Linked DNA regions of Alligator mississippiensis. The protein of the gene in region 1 binds, or shares a complex with, the protein of each later gene. Links are inferred from orthologs where the notes say so. Each region holds a gene or a part of one and is shown on either strand. Other genes may lie near its edges. The genes, in order: LLGL1 and PRKCI.

What was found.
Region 2: the proteins of LLGL1 (region 1) and PRKCI are in contact, whole or in part, in a cryo-EM structure (PDB 8R3Y), measured with the Homo sapiens proteins. The link is inferred for Alligator mississippiensis from reciprocal best matches to the Homo sapiens genes LLGL1 and PRKCI. Residues at the interface, in NP_004131.4 of Homo sapiens: Ala315, Asp319, Glu367, His391, Ser392, Ala394, Thr396, Glu453, Cys483, Glu484, His485, Phe506, Asp507, Pro508, Tyr509, Ser510, Asp511, Pro513, Gln518, Lys519, Lys569, Ala600, Val601, Thr602, Leu644, Gly648, Pro649, Leu650, Ser651, Arg652; in NP_002731.4 of Homo sapiens: Asp339, Met341, Gln345, Arg348, Leu381, Asp382, Met399, Thr412, Phe413, Cys414, Pro417, Leu425, Glu445, Gly449, Arg450, Ser451, Gly457, Ser458, Ser459, Asp460, Asn461, Pro462, Asp463, Asn465, Thr466, Glu467, Asp468, Tyr469, Leu470, Phe471.

What each region holds. Positions count from the first base shown.
Region 1 is NC_081836.1:54,999,189-55,009,811, reverse strand, and holds the start of LLGL1 (lethal(2) giant larvae protein homolog 1), read right to left. Parts: upstream 4,760-10,623; 5' UTR 4,652-4,759; coding exon 4,571-4,651; intron 1-4,570. UniProt on the Homo sapiens protein: Cortical cytoskeleton protein found in a complex involved in maintaining cell polarity and epithelial integrity. Involved in the regulation of mitotic spindle orientation, proliferation, differentiation and tissue organization of neuroepithelial cells.
Region 2 is NC_081830.1:74,794,516-74,805,940, forward strand, and holds the start of PRKCI (protein kinase C iota type), read left to right. Parts: upstream 1-7,226; 5' UTR 7,227-7,244; coding exon 7,245-7,366; intron 7,367-11,425.

The DNA.
Region 1 (10,623 bases):
AGGAGCCCTAGCTGCTGCCCACCGAGCTCCTGCCACTGTCCCCAAGGGGCTGCCCGAACATAAGCCTGACACAGATGCTGCACCCAGGGGACGGCTGGAGACTCGCGTCAGCTATGTATAACAGCGCTCAGGGCCTCTAACGTGCCAGTGATCTGGTCAAGCTGAATATTCGAGCACTGCCTGCAGATGTCCCAGCCACAGAACCACCTGGCAGGTCTGCACATCCCCCAGGACCCCCGAGCTCCTATCACCCATCATCCTGCTCACCAGGGAAGTGGTCACTGCTGCAGGGCATCCCCTGCCCATGTCCCTTCAACGTTCAGCAACAACCCCCTGGCAGGCCTGGTACATGGCACCGAGAGCACCACCTGGAACATCCCGTGCCCAGACACCTGCAATCCCCTTTGCATGCACTGGCTGCAGAGCCGGGGGGGCCTGGCACATGGGGACCGCCCGTCATCAGGTATCCACTGCCTCTTCATCTTCCTCCCAATGCATGGGCCCGAATGTCCCCCCACACCCAGCATCCCACCCATGTGTCACTGTCCAGATCCTAGAGGAAGACAGGCAACAGCAACTCTGCCCCTTCTGGCACTGTCAGCCCTTTCCAGGTGGGCCCTGCTCATCCTTCTCCCCCCCACATTGCTGCTGCTACCCCCAGCCTTGTCCTCGGCACAGCAGAGACACTTGGAGCAGAATCCTTCTGCCCAAGCAGCGCTGACAGACTGGCCAGGCAGCAGACCACAGCCACATGCTCCTCACCCCAATACAACTGGGAGACACTGGGAAATGAGGTCTGTGAGAACTGGTTCCAAGTTTAACCTGGGGAACAAGTGATGCACCCACAAGACAGCAGCTGGATGGTACTGTGACCGAGAGACCAATGAGCCTTGCAAGTGCAGCACCTGGGAGCTTCAGATCTGCAGATTTTAGCTGGGTGCTAAGAGCCCCTTGGAGACCGAATCAGTCGCCAGGATGCACAGACCCAGCCCTCGGGATGGCACCAGGATGCAACACAGGCCAGCGCACAGGAAGGCAAAGCTGAATTTCAGCAGGAGCTCTGCAGAGAGGCCAGGCCAAGGCAGGAAGAGAAACCAGTCCCATGCAAAGGTACTGGGTGCCAACCTGCCTGTGGCTGCCAGGGAAGCACGGGGGGGGGTGCCTGCCACGCCAGCCCAGGCCAGACCCAGGCCTGGAAACCCTTGGGCTGTGCGAGAGCCCACGACCAGATCCAGTTCTGCAAAAGCTGCTCCGAGTCCAGTCCATGGAAGAGGGGCTAGAGCACGGGCATTACTGCAGCTGCAGACAGCAGCCCAGGGCTCCATGCTGCAAGCACCACTTGACCCATGCTGCCCATAGGCCTGGCTGAGCCAGTGGCTCTAATGGCACCAGGAAGGGGATCAAACCTTGACATCTTCCAACAGCCACCTCACGTGGTGGGGAGAACCAATCTCCTTCAACAGGTGCCCTGCAAATACCCAACACCCGCAGGGGCACAGAAGAGCCAGCTTCTAGCAGCATGGGCAGCACAAACACCTTCACGTCGCTGGGCAAGGTGGCCACGGACGGAGCGGAGGTCAGGCCTGCAAGGGGCTGGACAGATGCAAACTCATCCTTAGTCCACGCAGTGCAGCCCAGGTGCCCGGCTTCTCTGCATGGCCCTCTGGACCCCACTGCAGATGCCGGGGAGGTGGAGGACCAATCTAACACCCTCTCCTTCTGGACTCTGGGTCCAGACCTGCCAAGAAATCACTGCAAAGCACCTCAACAATGGGCAAATGTGGGGCTTCTAACTCACGCCCAGGACCCCTCTTCTTCCCCAGGTCAAGATGCTCATGATGCAACACAAACACCCAAGAGCACAGCAGCCCCGAGGCTGAGAGATGACCAACGTGCTCCCCGCACGGGTGCAGCAGCCTTTGGCAGCCTCCAGATCTGCAAAGGCATCTCGTCGCCCCATGTGCTGGGTCAGCACCCACCACACGCAGCCCTCAGGTTACCAGCCTTCATCCAGCCCTGCCTCTGCCCTACTTTGGGGATCGAGCACCAGTCACAAAGACACCTGCTCATCAGGAGACCAACTGCAGCAACTGGAGAATGTCCTGGACCCCGTGGCATCCCAGAAGGCCAAGGCCATGCTTCCAGGAGGCAGCTGGGGTGGAAGCAGGTATCCAGGGCAGGCTGCTGTGCAGCTGCAGCCCCATCCCCGGATAGAGGCCGAATCGACCCATTTCTGACAAGGACAGCGGCCAAAACCCCCCCTTGTCAGAATTAGCCGCCGGCTACTAGCAGGGTCCTTGAGAGATCAGGCCAGCAACCGACCTCTGGGACCGGGAGCGACACAATAACTCGTGACCCAGCAAATCTCCCCTTGCCATGGTGCAGGACTTCTACCGCCAGCTGCAGACGACTCATTAGCCTGCCCGCCCTGGGTGCAACAGGGCCAGTCAGCAGCTCGACAACACCAGCCAACCCCACAGGACCAGCCAGGCCAGTCCCGGCTCCAGGCTCAGCACACGCTCGAGTCACAGCAGCCCAAAGCACCAGGCCCAGTGGATGCTCCACCTGCCCCAGCTGCAAACCTGGCAGCTGGCACGCAGCACCGCTGGAGTGAGCAGCTTGTGGGGCCAAGGGAGCTCAGGAGCCCCCAGCCAGCTCCCCGCTACCTGCCAGCTCGATGGAGGCGGCGTCCTGCAGTGGAGCATGCCACAACTGGTCCCACGGTGCTGGCTTGGCTGCAGGGGGCTGCTCTACGGGGGGACGGCTCCCCAAAGCATGACATGCCTGGGAGGGGAGGCTGCTGGCAGCCACCACGGCTTCCACATGGAAACCCTTGCAGCAGCTTGGCCCTTCTCCATGTGCAGCGGGGCCCAAAACCCACCAGCTTCAGCCCCATGCAGAGGCACCTGCATGCTGGGGAGCCGAGGCAGGAAAGGCGGCATGCACACACGGACTAGCCCCCTGCTTCCTGCAGGGCTCCTGCACCGCCTCCCCGTGCCACGCACCCACACACCCCGAGAGCGAGTCCACAGCCCCTCTCCCCAATAGACGGTTGTGTCCCAAGCCATGCACAGCGATGCACAGCGCTGCTGCAGGCTCCCACGCAAGCTCGAGGGCAGAGAAGAGAGCAGCCTCAGCCGTTTGCCCCCTGCTCCCCGCTGGGGTCCGCAGAGGTGCCAGGTCTGCTCGTTCCCAGCCTTGCTCAAAGCCAAACAGCTTTGCTTAACAATGGAGACCGACAGCAGCAGGGAGCACAGCCCAGCACTTCCCTGCCCTTCTCCGGTCACACCAGGCACTTGGAGGAGAGGAGCCCCCTCCCTGTAACAACCCCATCTGGCTCCATCCCAGGACAGGCCAGAGCTCTCCCACGTGCTTCGAGTCCGAGCCACCGGGGATTGGCAGGCCCAGGGGGACCGTGGTGGAGCAGGGACCCCCCTACCTGGGCCACAAGCTCCTTGGGGCAGGTGGGACCTCCTCACGCTGGAGCCCGCGAGGAACAGGAGCGCTGGCATCGGGGAAGGGAAGGCCCTGAGAAGCCTCCTCTCCTAGCCCAGTCCGCAGCCCGGCTCCTGGCAGGCGAGCCGTCCCACACGGGCTGCCGGCACGAAGCGCAGCCCCGGGCTGGGGGCCGGGCACCAGGGGATGCCTGCAGGGGCCCTGGCCGGGCAGCCGTGGGGAGGGGATGCACCATCGTGTCCGGGGCTCACTGCCGTCCCCACGGGGCCTCTGCGAGCAGTCAGGAGGCAGAGGTGGGCGAAGGCCGGACAGCCAAGAGCCGGGGGCCGCGGGTCCCCCCAGCGCAGCCAGGTCGCCGCTCCAGGGAAAGAGCCCAGAGGGCTTGCTGGAGGGGGCAGCCCAGACAAAGGGCGCAGGCTGCTGACGGAGGAGCGCCCGGCACCGGGGGCTATACCCTGCCCGGAGCGAGGGCCACATCCCGCTGCCCCAAGGCCCCCGGCCGCGTGGGGACCCCAACCCAAGGGCCGGGCAGCAGCCCCCGGGGCCCCACCGTCCCCTCGCCCGGGGCCGAGGCTGGTTTGCTGGAGCCTGGCACAGGGGCTCTGGGCACCCGAGAGGGGCCGGGGTCGGAGAGGCGGGGAGGGGAGGGAAGGGGCCGCACAAAGCCCGAGCTGTGGCTCCAGCCTCCCGCTGCTTTGTGAGGCCCGCGGCATGTGTGCCCCCCCACACGTGCACAGCCTTGCACGCACGGCCCCCCTTACACACGCACTGCGCCCCCCTGCGTGCACACCCCCCGTGTATGCACACACACACACTACACACCTCCCTTGCACACACACACACTGTACACCCCCCGCACATGCATATGCATGCACACCCTCCATACATGTGTCCTGGCACACCCCCCGCCCTTGCACGCACACTGCACCCCTTGCACACCCCGCCCCCCCTGCACGCGCACACACACACTGCTTCCCGCCGGGTGTGCAAGCCTCGTCCCCACCACCGCTTCACCCCCCCCCCCCAACAGCAGGGAGGAGGATGCACACGTACCCCCCCAGCCCTTGTACACACACACACACGCACGGGGGAGGGGCAGGGGCGGGCGCGGCACCTTGTTGAAGGCGAACAGCTCCTGCTTGATCCGGTCGCGCTGCGGGTCGTGGCCCCCGCGCCGGAACCGAAACTTCATCATGGTGCCGGCGGCGGGGCTCGAACCGGGGCCACGCGGGGCGGGCCGGGCGCGATCGGACTCTGCTGCCGCCTCGGCCGCGCGGCGCCCTGCTGGGAGGGGGCGGGGCGGGGCGGCTCTTTTCAAGGGGCCCGCGGCTGAGTGACGCTCAGGGCAGCCAATCAGCGATTCCCCCTGCGGGCCCCGCCGACCAGACAATGCGGGCGGCGCCGGGCGGCTCCCCAGGGAGGGCGGCACCGCCTCGTGCGCGTGCGCCGCGTCCGGCCCGAGGCAGGCTGGGAGATGTAGTTTCCTGCTGCCAGCGTTGCTCTCGCCTGCCCCCTGGCGGCGGGGCGCGGCGCTGCCCTGCAGAGGGCTCAGAGCAGCCCTGGGGCTGGGGGGCCCCGCCCTGCCACCCCTAGGCACATGCGGGGGAACAGCGTCAGTGCCCACACCGTCTGCAACCCCCCAGTGATGGGCACCCGCAATTTATCACCTAACCCCCAGCTGGGGTCTGGGGGTGCCCCACGGTGCTGCAAGGAAAAGCAGGAGGTGCCTTCAACCCCTTGCAGCTGTGGGCGCTGGGTTCGTTCAGTCACCCCCAGGTGGAGGCACAGCTCCCTGCCAAAGGGCGGTGGGGAGTGAAATCCATGCCCGCCGTGCCCCCACTGCCCCCCGACTCCCGGAGCAGAGGCCGTCTTGCTCCTGGAGCCTCTGGCACGCGATAGGGCCATGCAGGAGCTCCAGGGAAGAAAGAAGAATCCAGGCGGGATCGTGCCCTGGTCCTTAGACGCGGATAGAGGCCCCGCTGAAGTCCTTGCCCCTGCAGTGCAGGCTCTGTGCGTCTCCCACCTGCCTCCGCCCCGGGCTCCCTGGGCAGCTCCCTCCGGGGGTGCATCCAGCAGCACCCAGGGCAGGGCACGGGCGTCCTAACCATGGGAGGTGAATGTGGGATAGGGATGCCCCAGCCAGCAGGGTCAAGCCCGAGGGCAAGCGGTGCCACCTATCCAGATGGGTACAGGGCCTCTAACCCTGAGACAGTGGGGGGCAGGGAGGGTGCAAATTCGCACCCCAAGTGGTTGCACCAGTGCTGCCTCTGCCTGGGCAGCGGCTGCCATGTGGGGGAACCCCCATAACCCTGGGGCATCAGGCCGGGCAGCGGGCACTTTGGGAGGGTGGGAGCACCCAGCAGTGCACCCGTGTAGACCAACCCAGGGGTGTTTCCAGCGGAGGGGGAAGATATCAGCCTTTTTTGCACCTGGGCTGCCTCCAGCTGCCCTGCAGGCCCCGGCATGGTGCTTAGCGCCCCCCGGGGCGGCCGTGGCAGGGGCTGGGGCAGGTGGCCCGCTGCAGGGGCAGGCCCCGCGCCTGGAGATCCACGTCACCGTGCAGTGGAAGCGAACTAATGAGAACCATTTGCATCCAGAGCAAAGTACAGCACTGTTGGCAGCTGGGCCAAACTCTCCCCTGGTGTTAAGCTGGACTGGCCGGCATCACCAGACAGGCTGGCAGCCGTGACACCGCTGAGCCAGGAGCTGTCGGATGTCTAGCGGAAACCCTCCAGGACCCAGCGCTGTCCCGTGGGGGTGCAGGCCCCCGGGGCGAAGGCAAGGGCAGTAATGAGACACGTGGCCTCATCTGCCCGAGTCACAGCCAGGAAACACTGAGTCAGGCCCTCCCGACCGGTGGTGCATGCTGCGTTTGCTTGGAGGTGTGCGTGGGCAGGGCCCGCTCTCAACTCGTCTGTACAGCGCCGTGCACACAGCTGGGACAGAAGCAGCAGCAGGGCTTGGGGATGTCGGCATTTCCTGGGGCTCCCGTCAGGGCATCACCCACCTGTCCCCGGCCCCCACCTCCTGCCGCATGCCCAGCCCCGGCTGGGAGAGCTAGTTGTGATGAACAAGCAGACGAACGAGCTGGTGCGGAGACAAGGCGCGGGGCCGGGAAGCCGTGACTCACCCGGCTGGGGCACGGGGCGACTGGTTGAGCCGCATGTCTGCGCCTCTGCCTCCGGCTGCAGGCAGGGACCGTGGGCAGGGGCAGGGTGAGGCTGGGCACGAGGGCAGGGCAGGGTGGCACCACGCCCAGCTTCTGCCCCCAAACATGATGCCCTGACGGGAGAAGAAAGAAACTGGCTCCGCACCCACCCCAGCCTGGGTAGCAGCTCATCACACACACACACACGCACACACACACACACACACACACACACACGTCCCAAAAGCTTCCCTACACACAAACCCTGTTGCCCCCCCGCACACACTTGCCATAAAGACAGACAAATACACACACACACACACACACACATGCGTGTGCACACACGCTCACCCCCAGCTGCCATGAAGGGCCCCCCCACTATCCCATCCCATCCCATCCCAGGAAACAAATCAGTCCAATGCTGACGGCTTCCAGCACAGCCACTCCCAGCTGCTCCGAGCCGTGGGCCAGGCCTGAGAGACTGGCTCAAAAGCCGCAGGCTTTGTGCAATAGTGATGAGGATAATGATTTATGATGATGATTGTTACTGTTGTTGTTATTATTATATTACTAAAACACTGCTATTCTTTGCATCCTGGTCCCCAAGCCTCCCGGGGCAGCTGGCCAGCTCTTCCCAGCACCCGGGAGGGCTGGGAACTCCCCCGGTTCTCTGGCATCCCCTGACTCCTGGAGCTGGGGCTTTAAGGACCTCCTGCAGATGCTGTAGGAGCCTGGATAGGGCCGATCAGATCTGGCATTTCCCCTTGAATTCAAGCGCCCGGCAGCGCCTCGCTATAGCCCCTGCCCTGCAGTGACATCAGCTACCAGCCGGGCACCGCGCAGCCTGGGCCAATTAGCACAGTGGGGTCATTACAGAAGCTGGGAGCCCCATGCTCCCAGCCTGAGCTCCACAGCTGGAGTAGGATGGAGCTGGGGTAAGCGCCCATGTGCCTGCTCTTACCCCGTAATAATGCTCCCGGACCATGCACCGGTGGCTGCGTGCCAGTGACCGCAGCAGGGGCTCAGCCAGGTGCCAGGGGCACTGCGGACAGGGCAGAGGACAGGACCAGCCCCATTCTGGGGCAGGGACGTGCATGCCGCCAGCGCTCTCCGGGAGCCCCCAGCACCTGCTCTCAGATCCGCAGCTCATTTCCATCTGCCGCGGCTGGGAGGAGGGCGCAGCCCAGCTGCAAATTCCCCGCGGTGCACAGGGTTTGCACAATGCATCGTGAGAGCTGCCAAGAGCACTGCCCTCGCAAGCAGCGGGAAGCCCCGGCGGTGCAGCTGCAGCACAGCCAGGCCAAGCTCAGGGCGCTCGGCTCAATGCCGGCCGCGCCTCGGGGCTCAGCAGCCTGCAGAGACCCCGGGCTCCTGGCCCCGAGCACCTGGCTTGCCCGGAGCCAGGTTCGTTCTCTCCGGGCCCCTGCTCCATCACCCACAGCTCAGGCTGTCCCCCCCTGCCCGCCTGGCTCTGGGGGTGCCTGCCCTACAGCACCCTGCTCAGCACCGGCCTCAATATTGCCATCGGACCCCTCCTATACGTCTCCAGGCACCACGTCCCGCTGCCCCCGGTCCCTGCGAACTGGCAGCCAGGTCTGGTGCCACGGGGCTGCTGCGGGGGCACGACAGGCTGGTGCAAAGCTGTCCCTCCAAGCCCCCAGGACCCAGTCCAGCCCCTGAGCACGAGGCTGTGCTGCCAGGCTGGTCTATTCCAGCCTCCTCTGGGCTCACACGTGGGCCAGGCCCGTGCAAGACACGGGACCCAGGGCTCCCCCACTGCTAGAGGCTTTGCTTATGGTTTAAATGAGCTTTAGCACATGAGACCGATGGTGGCTTGAAGGGCAGGGCAAGAAGAAGCCTCCTCCAGGGAGGCCGTCAGGATGCGGCCCCCTCGTTCAGGGCATCACGCTCCCCTCTGCGGGGACTGGCCCAAGACCCACCCTGATTGTAACCCCCTTGCAGGCTCTCGCCACTCCCCGCAGTGAACAACCCCAGGCGTGACCGAGCCGCCACCATCTTGGGACCAGCCCCTCTGCCCTCACTGCCGGCCCCAATCCTGCATCGCCCTCCCACCCTCTTGGCACCTCTGTCCCAACCCTCGTGCCGTTCCCTCCCTGCCCGGGCTCTCATGCGCTTGCATGGGGATGGAGGCGCATGCGTCCGCCAGGTGCAGGAAGCAGGAGGCAGCGCTCGGGTATTTTTGGAGCTGCCAAGAATAGCCGCGGTTCTGGGCCAGAGCGACGCAGCTGCTGCTGGAATTTCCCTGGAAACCTGCAGCCCTCGGGAAAGCAGCGGGGCGGGCGCTGGCCGCCCGGAGCAAACCCGGCCCGCGTGCCCAGTGGAGAGGGTGGCTGGACCTGGGCCCTGCACCGGGGGAACGTGTGGGAGGAAGAAACCCTGCCTCATGCCTCAACCCCGAGAAGAGGCAACGGTGTGAGGGGCGAGACCATATGCATGGGGCTGGGGCACGAGGGTGCCCGTCTGCTGGCCGTACCCATGGTGCCAGCCCACCTCGTACAGGTTGTGCCGTCCCATTTGCTGCAGGGGATGAGCTCTGCAAGCCAGAGGTGTCTGTAGCAAGGAGCGATCGGGGAAAACCCGGAAGAAGCCAGGCCGAGCGCTCCTGGGTGATGGATGGGGACAGGGCATGGGGTCGTGAGACACGAAGCCAAAGGTCAGAGGTCTTTAATTAGGTCTCTGTGCAGCGGGAGGGGAGCAGCTCTCTGGGCCCCGTCCCCAGGACAGACGAGTGGGCGCTGGTCAGGATGCTCTGCCGGCGAGGGGAACACGGGAGTCCAGGCATGGGGGGAAAGACCGGAGCCCTCCTTAACTGCTGCTAGGGGCCGACACGCACGTGACAGCCCCAGAAGCGGAGGCATTGCCCCCGCCGGTGCCTGGGGTACGAGCCTGGGCTGCCTTGATTGTCGTCACGTGACTGCGGCCACAGGAGAGTCAACTCCCGGCAGCCCCCGGCTGTGTTACCCCAAACTGGGACACGGCGCCCATTCACAGCCTTGGCTCACAGGTCACACAGACCCTTTGCTGAGAGCTAGGGGAAGGGGCGAGCCCAGCTCTGACACTGCTTCACTCCATAGCCTTGGGCACATCCCCTCACCTGGTCAGTAAGCCCGACATGCTTGCTAGCACTCTGGGGAAGGAGGAGGGTACTGAGGCAGCGGGGCCCTGCTCTCAGCACTGCCCCAGCACGAGCTGCAGGGCACAGCGATAACACCCATGCCGGGAACCGGCAGCCACAGCCCCATGTGGCCCCTCTGTGCCTCAGACAAGGCCCTTCCATCTCCGGCAGCTCAGTTGTTCCCTGAGGAGACGGGCTGCAGCGCCTGTCCTGCACGCGGAGAGCCAGGCCAGGGCCTTTGTGCTCGGCTCGGCTGCCCCCCAGCCCAGCGAAGCTGGACGGCGCCTCGGCGGGAGCTCCCCAGCTCCCAGGCCTGACCTCCAAGCTGCTGGGGACCCCAGCTCCCCCCGGCCTTTGCAAACCCATGGAGCAGATTCCTTCCCCTCTCCGTCCTGCCCCCTCCCACTCCGACGGCCTCACCGTCCAACGGCGCCTCCGCACTCCCCAATGAGATCCAGCTGCAGCTCCCCAAGCCCCCGGAGGCTCCCGTCAGCTTCCTGCACCTCCCAGCTGTTTGCACGGTGGCAGCTGAGCCGGGCCAGACGAGGACTGGGGTCCCCCGGCTGCGGTGGGGGACATGCCAGAACCCTCCAGCACCCCCTTCTCCCTCAAATACCCCCCTCGCACCCCACAGCTGAGCACTTGACTTTCTGCTTGCCAGGGCTAACAGTCCTGCTGGAAACCCAGCCTCCCGCAGCAATGTAGGGCTGGGGATACGGGCTTGCCAGTCCAATCAGGGTACGAGGTATTGGCTCCGTGCCCCTGGATGTCCCATGCCTCATTTGGAAACCCCCCGGCTTGAACAAGGCTCCACCGAGGTCCGTGCTGCACAGGCACGAAGCCGTCTGGCCTGGTCTCGAACCCCCGACCCGCCCTCGAGGCA
Region 2 (11,425 bases), on another chromosome or scaffold:
TCAAGCTTCTCCAAATCCTTGAAGTGCGGCACCCAGAACTCCAGCTGCAGCCTCACCAGTGCCGAGCAGAGAGGGAGAAAAACTTCCTTAGTTTTGCTTGAGATGCACTGGTTGATACAGCTGTGAGGTGCAGAGGAGAAGGTGGAGCTTCTCCAAAGACTCTCGCCTGTGGCCTCCTTCCACAGGGACTCTGAGCAGACGGGCCCTTTAGCCCAGCCTCCCTTTCAGCTGCAGTGTAGGCATGCCAGGACAAAAGGCAACACTGGAAAATGCAGGCATTGATCCTACTATCTCTTGCGTGCTAAGCAAACACTCTACCATCTAAGCTAATTCCCGAGCATACTTGTGTAGCCCCTGCCCTGTGACAGGCATGGGCAATGCATGAAGTTTTACAATTAAGTGGGAGTGCCCTGGATCTTACTGTGGTTTAGGCAGCCCGCAGGAAGGGAACTGGGTTTCACAAACTTAAACAGAGCCGTAAAGATATACACGCAGCTTGTGCATCTGCATTGTCAGTGTGTATTGGCAGGTTTGTTTGTCAGTGGCATTCCAGTTCCATTCATTTGGGCTGGCTAAACTACAGCAAAATAATACAGCAAAAAACTGACAGAAGTCATAGAGATAACATCTGCCACTTCTATACCCCTTGGGCTGAAATACAGAGGGCAATAAAAACAGCAATCATGATTATTCCTGTGGCTGTACACAGCACGGCAAATATAATAAGAACATCCCCACAATGCTGATATTTTATATTTAGGTTTTTATAACAATTAATATTACATGTAAGATTTCAAAAGATATCTGAGGGTAAACAAATCCCCTTGTTTTAAAATATCTCCAGTCTGTCTCCTTGTTTTACACCTTAGTGATGACGACTCCTAAATGCGTTCTCTCTCTCTCTCTCTCTCTCTCTCTCACACACACACACACACACACACACACGCGCACACACACACACACACACACACACACACTTTTACAGGTCCATTTAAGTCAGGGGACTTCCTAGTTAATTTAACTAAAATATTACACCTAAAATGTGTGTGTGTGTCCATTCATACGTATATGTATAGATAGATAGATAGATAGATAGATAGATAGATAGATAGATAGATAGATAAAATGTTCTTAGCTTTTCTTTGAAACAGACATTTTAAAACAAGTCACTTGGGCCTGTGTGATGTATTTATTCATTGATTGATTTGATTTGATTTGATCTGATTTAATTAATATACTGTCCTTTCAAACAAAGGCTGGATTAAAACAAGAGAAGAGAATAATTTATAAAACAGGAGAAGGAACAAGAGAACAAAACAACTTGAAAGGGAACTGGTGTATCAACATAAAACAGAAACTTCTGAACCATATCCCAAACTACCTGTGTTTGCTAAATTAAGCTTTTTGTGAATTTGTTGAAGTTAATTCCAAACGAGATACTACAGGAGTAATGAAGAACCAACTAGTGACTGAGTGTTTGCACATTACAGTAAGGTCTCCTATAAACTGAAAGATGCCAGTAAAATTGCTTTTTCCCAAAAATGGTGGTGTATGATCAAAGCTTTGAGGATATAAGCTAGCTCATTTAATGATAGATTGCGTATCTCTTTTCTGCAGTTGGCAGTATTTTTAGTGCAGTTCAGAATTCTTACTTTTATCTCTAGTCTTCAAAAGATGTATGTAATGCTTTAGAAGTGTGATTTTTTTTCATGGGTAATCTATACTTCTAAACAAAAGTGATTAAGTACCGAAATCAAACCAAACAGAGATAGGATAATAAAAGCCAGAATGTAAATACAACTAGGGAGTATCTGAGTCTAGGCAGGCTGGGAGTAATAAAATGTACTGTGTGGGGAAAATAAGTCAGAGTACAAAACAGGATTTTACAGGGTTTAAGAGTAAGAGACTTTCTGGCCAACAGATTAAGGGAGAGATTAATCCCAAGAGTGGAAAAGACTAAAAAGCTGATGAATGAGGAAAAAATTAGATCCTCGCCATAGGGCTGGCAACTCTCAGACTACTGATGTAACAGAGTTGAACAGTATATTGTTCAACAATATAGTATCAGTAGTCTAAGAGTATAGTGTTCAACTCTGATGACCCAGGGGAAGCAGGGATGCAAGAGGTTCAGACACAAAGGCCATCTCCTGAAGACACAGTATGCACAGACCGTTCTGAAAAAATTAATACAAAATCTCCTCCAGTTATGGTGAGCTGGCAAAGGGAAGTACAGCAGTTTGGAGTGACTTTGTATGATGAGGAAGTTTGCTTTGTAAATTTGAACAGGACTGAATCTTTCATTCAATCGCTAGAGACTGTTTTATAGCATTACCCCCAGGATGGACCTGAATGATTTATTTTTTAGCTATGGTTAAAGAGCAATACACTTTTGTTTATTATTAAATAAAATTAGCAAAAAACAGAGGTACTCTGAATGCAGATGATTTCCTGAACTGGGTTAGTAATCTGCTACAGAATAATGCAAAGATAGTGGGGAATAGGACAGTACAACCCACTGTAGCAGTTATAAAATGCTGGGGACCTGAAGAATTAAAAGCTAACCCAGATAGCCAAATAGTGGACTCAGTATAGTGGACAGTTTTGATGATAATGTGTGTTTTGCTGGCAGGTTTACGGTAGTTGTGACTGATGGGAAACACACTACTACTGAGCTTTTAGGTGGGGCTACAATGAGAACTTGCGGGGGGGTTCCAATCAGAATAGATGATGATCAGTGATGGAGTCATACTGGCACAGCATGTAGGAGGCACCACTAAGGCGTAAAATAAAGGTTCAGTCTGGAGACATTTTAAAACAAGGGGATTTGTTTACTTTAGGACACCTTTTGAACTGTTACATGCAAGAATCATTGCTATGAAATCCTGTACATAAAAAAAATCAGTATTGTGTGGACATTTTTATGACTTTTGCTATGCTGTGTAGGGCCATAATAATCATGGCTGGTGTTTTTGTTGCCATCTGTATTTGACCACAAGAAGTATAGAGGCAGCAGGACTTAGCCAGAGATATGACTTGTCAGGTGTTTTGGAAGACTTGAATATGTCCTGAGGGACACATGGACCTAGTGATTCAAGCAAAATTTGCTGCATGCCTCAGTTCTACAGGGACAAAAGCTGCAAACATAAAGGTCAGTGTTGAAATCCATGTTGATCTAAATAATATAAAATAGCATTAGAGCCCTGAAATTATTGGAAAATCATGTCTCTTTATGATTTTGGATGTGGACAAAAGACTAATGTGGATATACCTAATTGCATCTTGTCTAGATTGCAGGGAGACCTTGGCAGAATTTAAGGGTTAAGACTGTGTTCTGGACTTTGTCAATACATTTATGGCTATGTGGTTAGAAGAATGATTTCAAAGCTTACATTCAAACATTATGAAATATGCTTGTCCATAGGTGGCTGATAGGAAAGCTGCATGTAGACTGGATAGCTCAGAGAAGTAAACTAATGAGCAAAGGCCTTGGACTTTCATTGTATTGACTCTAAACTTAGCATGAAGCTCAGTAGAAGTCAAAGACCATGGCTTTTGAAGGGGCCAAAAGCTGTTTTCCATACTAATGTTCTTAAAAAGAACAACTATGCTAGGCCTATGACTTAGCTGCAGCACTTGGGGGGGTGGATCATATGCTTTCCGAGGAGAAACCAGGGTTTCTGAAACAACATCCTTGACCTGTAAAAAGATCTGGTATATTATTACCACTTGGATGTAAAAATGTTGCAATAAGATTGTATCCTGTACAAGAATCCCTAGAAATAACTGTTAGTGGTTATAAAAATTGTTCTGTCATATAGCTCCCATTCCAGACAACTACCCTGGGCAGAAAGAGCCTCTGCCATAACTGTTTAGTGGCTGATAGGTACAGTTCATACTATGCATGTACAACATGCCTCAAGGGTGAACACTTTCAAATAAATTGCTGCTTTCCAGATGGTTGCACAGTTAACAATGACAAAGCCACAGCTTTTGAATGTACTGACTCATTTTTCATGGGTGAGCCATCTCCTATTGTGAAAAGGTATAATATCCTTTGGTCAGGTCAATGCTTGTTCAATTTTATCATCAGACAAGGTTTAGGACTAATTTTCTTTAAAGACAGGGATTTGTAATCAGGGACAATGGGAGCCCAAATGGAGAGACATGTTATTGCCTTACAAGGAACTTTCAGATTTTCTAATAGCTAGTTCACCTCCAGTGCCCCGAGATGGTGTTTTGAAACTAGGACTATTAGTGTTTGTCCATATTAGAAACCTGTGTCCAATGAACAAAATAAATATTATTATTTTTACCAGCCTGTACCTGAATGCAAACAAGAAATACCCAGTTGGAATCACTTAAATTATTTATGACAATTTTAATTTGCATTCACGTGCTTTGGAAGCACCAATGTTAAAATAAACCTCCACAAGGACTGCTTTTTTTACCCTTGCTGTCAAACTTCTGTTTCATATGTCTGGTACATACAGAGTCTAAACAGCATTTGCCTTGGAGAAATGATGACAAAAAGAAGGCAATCACAAGCAGCCAATGCACTATAAAATCGAATGGGGCGAGAAAAAACAGAATCCGGTTGGCCAAAATCTGTGATAGTGGAATTTATCTGCAAGACTGGATATGTTATTTTCTGAAAACATGACATTACACATGCAACAAAAACAAGATTTGTCAGGGTTTCTCATCTGATACAAGGGCATGATCAAACAAAATCACTAGACCAGTTATATCTAGGAGAAAGAAAGTATTTATTTATATTAAGGTCAAATTAAGGTAAACTCCAATGAAAAGTTGCTATATTGTTTCTAATCTCCTTGTAGAGGAAGTTCACACAGGTACTGACCCTCTATCACCAGTTCAGTGGATGATCTTCATAAATTCTGACACTAGGGGTCAGATTCTTAAGCCTGTTGCAGAAAAAACTACTACTATCAAAGTGATTTTGACAGAAACAGATTTTTGTATGCAGAATCACTCACTTTTTAGTAATCACTTAATTGACATGCCTTATTCCATCACCTATGTCTCTATATCTGTCCTGAAGAGTGCATGCCTTTCAGCCTGTTTTCCAGTTGTGATTTCTATTCCACCACATTTGACTGACTTCTAAGTATTGTAGCCATACTACTGGAACTTTGGTAAATGCAAGACCTCTTGTTTAATACTGGCTATTAGAAAGTTAGGTCCATGGATTCCTTATTTTTTTCTGAGGTGTTTAACAAATGAATTGACTGTCTGGCTTGTTGCAAGTCATCAAGTAGAATTTAGACAATCTTGCAGCTAAATTTCTAGATTTGTTTTCCTTTCCCAACAATAAGCTATAAACCTGTTGCTCCTGTTGCCACAGCTGTTTAAGTAGGTGGAGTGTCAAATATTTGACAAAGAGCTTTCTGTTTTCTTCTGGCAAGTTATCGATTGCCTGTACTTACTGCCTGCAGAAGTAAATACAACCCAAAAGCCATATTGGTGTGTATGGTGGCAGGGGGAGAGATAATGCAGTTGATCACTCAACCAGCTCACTTTTTTGGAGTAGTTCAGAGTGTTCCTCACCAAATGATGTTTCACTCACAAATCTGAGTACACTGTTGGAGCAATTTATTTCTGTAATTGCATCCTGTTACACCTGAATGCTGCTGCATTGAACACTGTAGCTCATGCCAGTTTTAGTAACTGACTCAATCACAAACTCAACACAGTGGTAACTCTTAGCACAGTTCTAGAAAAGGAGCTTTACAGTACATTTCGAAGGAGAAAATGGACTGCTCTAGATGCCAGTTTTAGCACATGCATTGGAAGCGGAACTGACATTAAAGTTAACAGGAACTGGACTGGGCTTAAATCCAACAAAGCACTTAAGTCAACAGGATCACCTAGTGCTTTGTGAGGCGTGTACTTGGTTTAATTGGAGCCAACAGAAGAATTTGAAGTCTGACTGTTCTCACTTTGCCACAAGCAGAGTACTCTGATAGGTATATTTTAAAATCTAAAAATGCTGCCTGTGCAAGGTCTTGTGGGAATGTCCTGAGATGGCCAACGATAATAATCAGCTTGTAGAGGACTAGTTATCTAATCGCCCACACACTTAGAGGTCTCCATAATTAAACTCTCAACAACACTTAGCTATTTCCTATTAAAAATAGAGAACATCCAGCTTTTTGTAACACATTGCTGCTCGTATAATACAAAATCTTACACGGCAGCAGCAATACCCTTGGCATTGTTAGTATAAGTTTTTGTAGCTGGGTAAGCTTAGTCCAGTGGTTCTTTGCCTTTTTGGACTCGAGACACCCCATGAACAATGACAACTTTTAGTTTTCACTCCATTTTTGATGGCAGAAAGGATATTAGAGTAGATGTGATATCTTTTATTAGACCAACTGAATAGTTGGAAAAAAGTTCTTAGCAAGCTTTTGGGCGCAATCGCCCTTCTTCAGGCATAGGAACAGCAGAGACTCCCTATGCCTGAAGAAGGGCGATTGCGCCCAAAAGCTTGCTAAGAACTTTTTTCCCAACTACTCAGTTGGTCTAATAAAAGATATCACATCTACTCAAAGAACCTTGCCTGCCCATGTCCCTAGACCAGTACAGCTACCCCCAGCAACCCAGAAAAATATTAGAAGAATTCTAACACGATATTAGAACCATTCTAACAACACTAGAACAATTAGAACAATTGCAAAGAACTCGGAAAAACCGCAACAGGTCACAACGCTTTGACATCTGCGGGTTTGTCTGGTGAAGCACGTGTGCACGCTTAACATTGGGGGCAGCCTTGCAAGGATTTCCAGGCTGCTGGGGTTGCCGTGGCTGGGAATCACTGGCTCACTTCCTGCCCTCTGGCCCGATGCTGAGCAATCCTGGCAACCCTGTCCCCGTGCATCCACGGGGATTCAGGAGCACCGGCACTGCCCGCCCCTCAGTCCCAACCGGTCCAGCACGCGCGGCGGACTACAAGTCCCATCATGCCTCACGGCTCCGGCATTGGGTTGTACCAACTGCCGTGGATTGAGGAGGGGGGGAATCCTCCTAACCCCGAGCACCTTCGAAGCGGCCCGCCCCCCGCGGTGTGAGCACTTGGTTCAGGCCGCGGGCAGGGGGCGGGGCAGAGGCGCTCCGGGGCGCGGGGGTAGCCGCCGCCTCTTCGCGCCGGGCCCTCGGGAGCGGCCGCCGCCGGGGAGGGAGGCGGGAGGGCAGGGGCGGGCGGGCGGGCGGGCGGGCGCGCGGCGATGCCGACGCAGCGGGAGGGCAGCGGCGGCGGCGGTACCACCATGTCCCACTTGTCGCTGGGCGGCGGCGGCGGCGGCGGCGACAGCGCTCACCAGGTCCGCGTCAAAGCCTACTACAAGGGGTGAGTGCGGCGGCGCCGCGTGTTCGGGGGCAGGCGGCATTTTTGGGAAGAGAGGCGTTTCCTTCTGCCCCTCCCTGGCTCCTCCAGGCCCCCGCTGAGCCTTGGCCCTTTGTTCCAGGGGTTTGCACAGTGCTTGGGAAGAGACCCCCCCCCCCCTTACCATCTAAGCAAGGGCAAGACTTGGCTTTGGAGAGAGATGAGCAAATAAAAATAAAGAACTAAGAGCGTGAGGAAATGCATCAGTGCTTTCATTAAGCCTGCATTGCTTTCCCTTTAGTAATCCATGTAATAATCACGGTTAAGATAAGGCCAAAAGCCACGCGATGATTGGGACAGTTTATATAGAGCTGTACGCGTGATATTTTGCTTGTCACTTCCGTCCGTAGCATCTCTGGTAGACCGGCTTTTTTTTTTTATTTTTTATAAAGAAATATCTGAATGGTGTTTGCGTGAGCATTTTGAGGTGTTAAATTACTTAGATTGTGTGCAGTTGAAAGCCATTTAAGATTTCATCGCTAACAAGAACAACAACGTGTTTCTTGTGTGCGGGTCGGTGTGAGATGCCTCTCTCCGTTCACCTGGGTGTAAATGCAGTTGTCAGTTCAAGTAAAGGATTGAAACTAACCAACTCCCTTTGTGACTCACGTTAATGATCCCGGTTATAAACAAGCTGTCTAACTGGAATGCCTTCCTCGTGAGCTGTATGAAGGTCTCATTTATACATTTCCTGCCCACCCCCACTATTTTCCTCTAACTTTATGCACTCCAAAAAATTCTCTCATGCTCCATTCAGCCTGTCAGACTCTCATCTTAAACTATCAGAAACCTTGCTAGAATATACGATTTTACTTATGTCTGGCTTCACACTTGGGGACTGAAGACCTTAAACTCTCTGGCCCCCTAGCTAGCATGGAGACAGTGCTTTTGCTCAAGGAATTTGGCTAGGGAAACTGTTTTGAAATTATAATTTTTTCTCTTCAGAAAAAAGTTGTTGGAGCTGACATAAGTGTGTATGTACATGCCTGCGTATGTATATGTACATGTTCTGATGGACCTTCACCAGGGAAGGTTTCTTGGCACAGGGATAGAATTTCTGCTCAAATCCAGGGGGTGGACATTTTTATGGTGGTACAAAGGCGAAGCAAACCAACATCCATACCCCCTTGTCTTGTGTCAAATGCCTAAAACTTGTGGTCATAACTTGTGACTTGGTAGCAGCCTATAAGTATACAAGGGGTGTGCATCAGGATCTGGGGGAACCCCTGTTCAGAGCACCCGAACGAAAGACAACGTCCAGTGGTCACAAACTCCTGGAAGACCATTTTAGGCTGGACATCAGGCAAAAAACTTCTTTACCATCTGTGTTCCCAGAGCCTGGAATAGCACCTGTAGGCACCTACTCCAGACACTTTTAAGAAACATTTGGACACTTATCTTACTGGGATTCTTTGACCCTAGCTGACTTCCTGCCTCTTGGGCAGGGGCTGGACCCAGTGATCTTCCAAGGTCCCTTCCAGCCCTAATGTTTATGAAATCTATAATCAATTTGTGATGCTTTATTACAGCAGATGTCTTTTAGGTTTATGGTGGGAGAGTGTGGTCAGCTCAGAGCTGCTGATGCTTTCCAGCAGCCCTGGGCTGGCACTCCCATGGTTTCAGAGTCTCAATCCCATGTGCCCTGAGAATTCCCATTCCTGGGGCAAGCAGGATCAGGCCCCGAAGGCCTGGGAGCACCTGCCTGGGTTCCCCTGTTTGGGATTTCCCAGACATCCATTGACACTCTAGTATGGTCCCAGACCTGAGACGGACAATCAGCTTATTGGCGGGGCCTGGGCCTTGGACCACACTGGAGTACGGAAATTGCTCCAGTGTAGTCTTGGGACTGAGGCTGCCAATCAGTTCACTCGTGGTTCCAGCCCCAGGACCACAATGGTGTATGTAGCTCTGTCTGATGTGGTCTCCAGGGCAAGTTTCTGTAAGCTGAGAAAGCTAGGGTTTCCCTTGTTAGAGATGTGCCCCAAAGATTTCCAGGGCACATCTCTGTTAGTGGGGAACACATTGCCCATTGTCCCACAAGATCAATGGCGGGACAATGGGCAATCTGTGTTTTGCCCAGTGAGGTGGATCAGTTATGCCAGGCGCATCCTGGCACTCCTCATCTGTTCCATTTGGTGCCATCTATTTCTAGCCTTAGAGCAATAAATAGTCTACCCAGGTCTCTTGCCAGGGAAGTCAAGTCCCTTGTCTGAATCAAGTAGGCCAGAGTCTTGAACTTTGTTCTTACCACATTGCAGGTTAATGCCCTGCCTGCTACAGGCCTGAAACAAGTCTCTTCATAACTCTTGGCTTTTGACAAGAATTTTATAAAGTCTGGGTTTACTCTGTAAATAGGAAAACTTCTGAAATTTAATTTTAGTGAAATCAAAACTTCATGAAAATCTGTTTTTGCTCAGTTGTAAGATATCTATTCAAGGGCTTTGTTGCTAGAGTATCAGCTGTGAAGTGTGTGAATTTTAACTCTTGGAGTTGCTGAAGAATTAGGTAGCAAAAACAGTCATCTCATTGCAGTAGGACTTGAGGGCTCTTTTGGGAACCTTAACCATATTCAGCCTGATTTATTAGAGCCTAGATCATTTGTTAAAGAGTGGCAAAGGTTCTCAGATGGTGCTGTAGCATTCATAAGAGATTCAACAAAAATTCAAAGAGCATATGAGTTTGATGAACAGTTTGAGGCACTATACCAGGGTAGGAAACCCCTGGCACAGGTGCCAGAGCATGGTGCACACAGGCATTTTGCTTGGCATGCGTGCCTTGGGGCAGAGGGTGGGGAAGGGGGCTGTGCTGCAACAACAAGGATTGGGCCCCTCATGGCTCCTCTGCCATCCACCCTTAGCACACCAACATCTTACAAGTTGAGGTTGTGGGTGTTTTTACCTAAAAGCATTGCTGACCCCTGCACTTGACTTTGCCAACATCCATAGGTGTAAGGACTCCAGAACTGGGTGTTAGCTGTAGCCAAACTGGGGATTTTGACTAGGATATGCTAATGTTCCTGCTTGGGCTAAAACCTTGAGGGTTCCTGGTTTAGAGGATCTTACCCCCTGCTCAGAGTCGGATCGATTGCTAAATTCAGAGGGTCAGGAAGGAATTTTATCCCATGATCAGATTGGTATAGACTGTGGTGGGGTTTTGCCTTCCTCTACAGTGTGGGGCATAGCCCTTTTCCTTACATTGCTCAGGTGTATTTTAGCACCCCTTACAGCAGCAGGACACTAGCTGCCATTGTTCTCCTGCTTTACCTGTAGCAGGTTAGGGTGTTATATATGATCCCAGTACTGTAGAAAGAAAATGAATTAACCAGGAGAGGCACAGTTTAGAGTGGCATAAATTATAGTGACATGTATGTTGCTGGGAAGATAAGTCTAGAGTATGTCTCATTGCTAATGGCAAGTCTTGAAAAGGAACCATTATCCACAAATGAGTATTACTTGTGTTTAGGGACTAGTATGGATAACAGACTTGTGATATACCATCAACCTTTCAGCTGTGTAGGCTGCAATGTAGATCAAACCTAGAGCATAGTTTGATGACAGGGAAAAGATGCTTGTGTCCCACATACAGTGGAAATTATACCCTTGATGAAATGGGTAACAAACTTTATGATACAAATAAGTTTGGAGGATTGGTGTTCAATCTATATATTTATGAAAAAATACTAAATGAACTAAAATATTAAAATGTTTATACATCTCATTTTAATATCTGAAAACTAATTTATGATTAATATGGTGTCTTCCACTGAGGACATGAGAAGCGTGAAAGTGGATTGCATAGTAGAGGCTAAGTGGCCTCCTCGTGAGTAAAAACAAGAAAATACTTACGATGAGATGCCAGAAGTGGCACGTGTTAACTTGCCTTTTCTTTTTTATTAATGAAGCTTGTGTGAGTAGGTAGGGGAAATAATGGTTTAATATAAGTCAGAAGTCAAAAGATACCACACAAACAATTGCTTTGCTTTGTGTTCCCAAATGAATTATTAAGTTAATAGTGCAGCAAGTC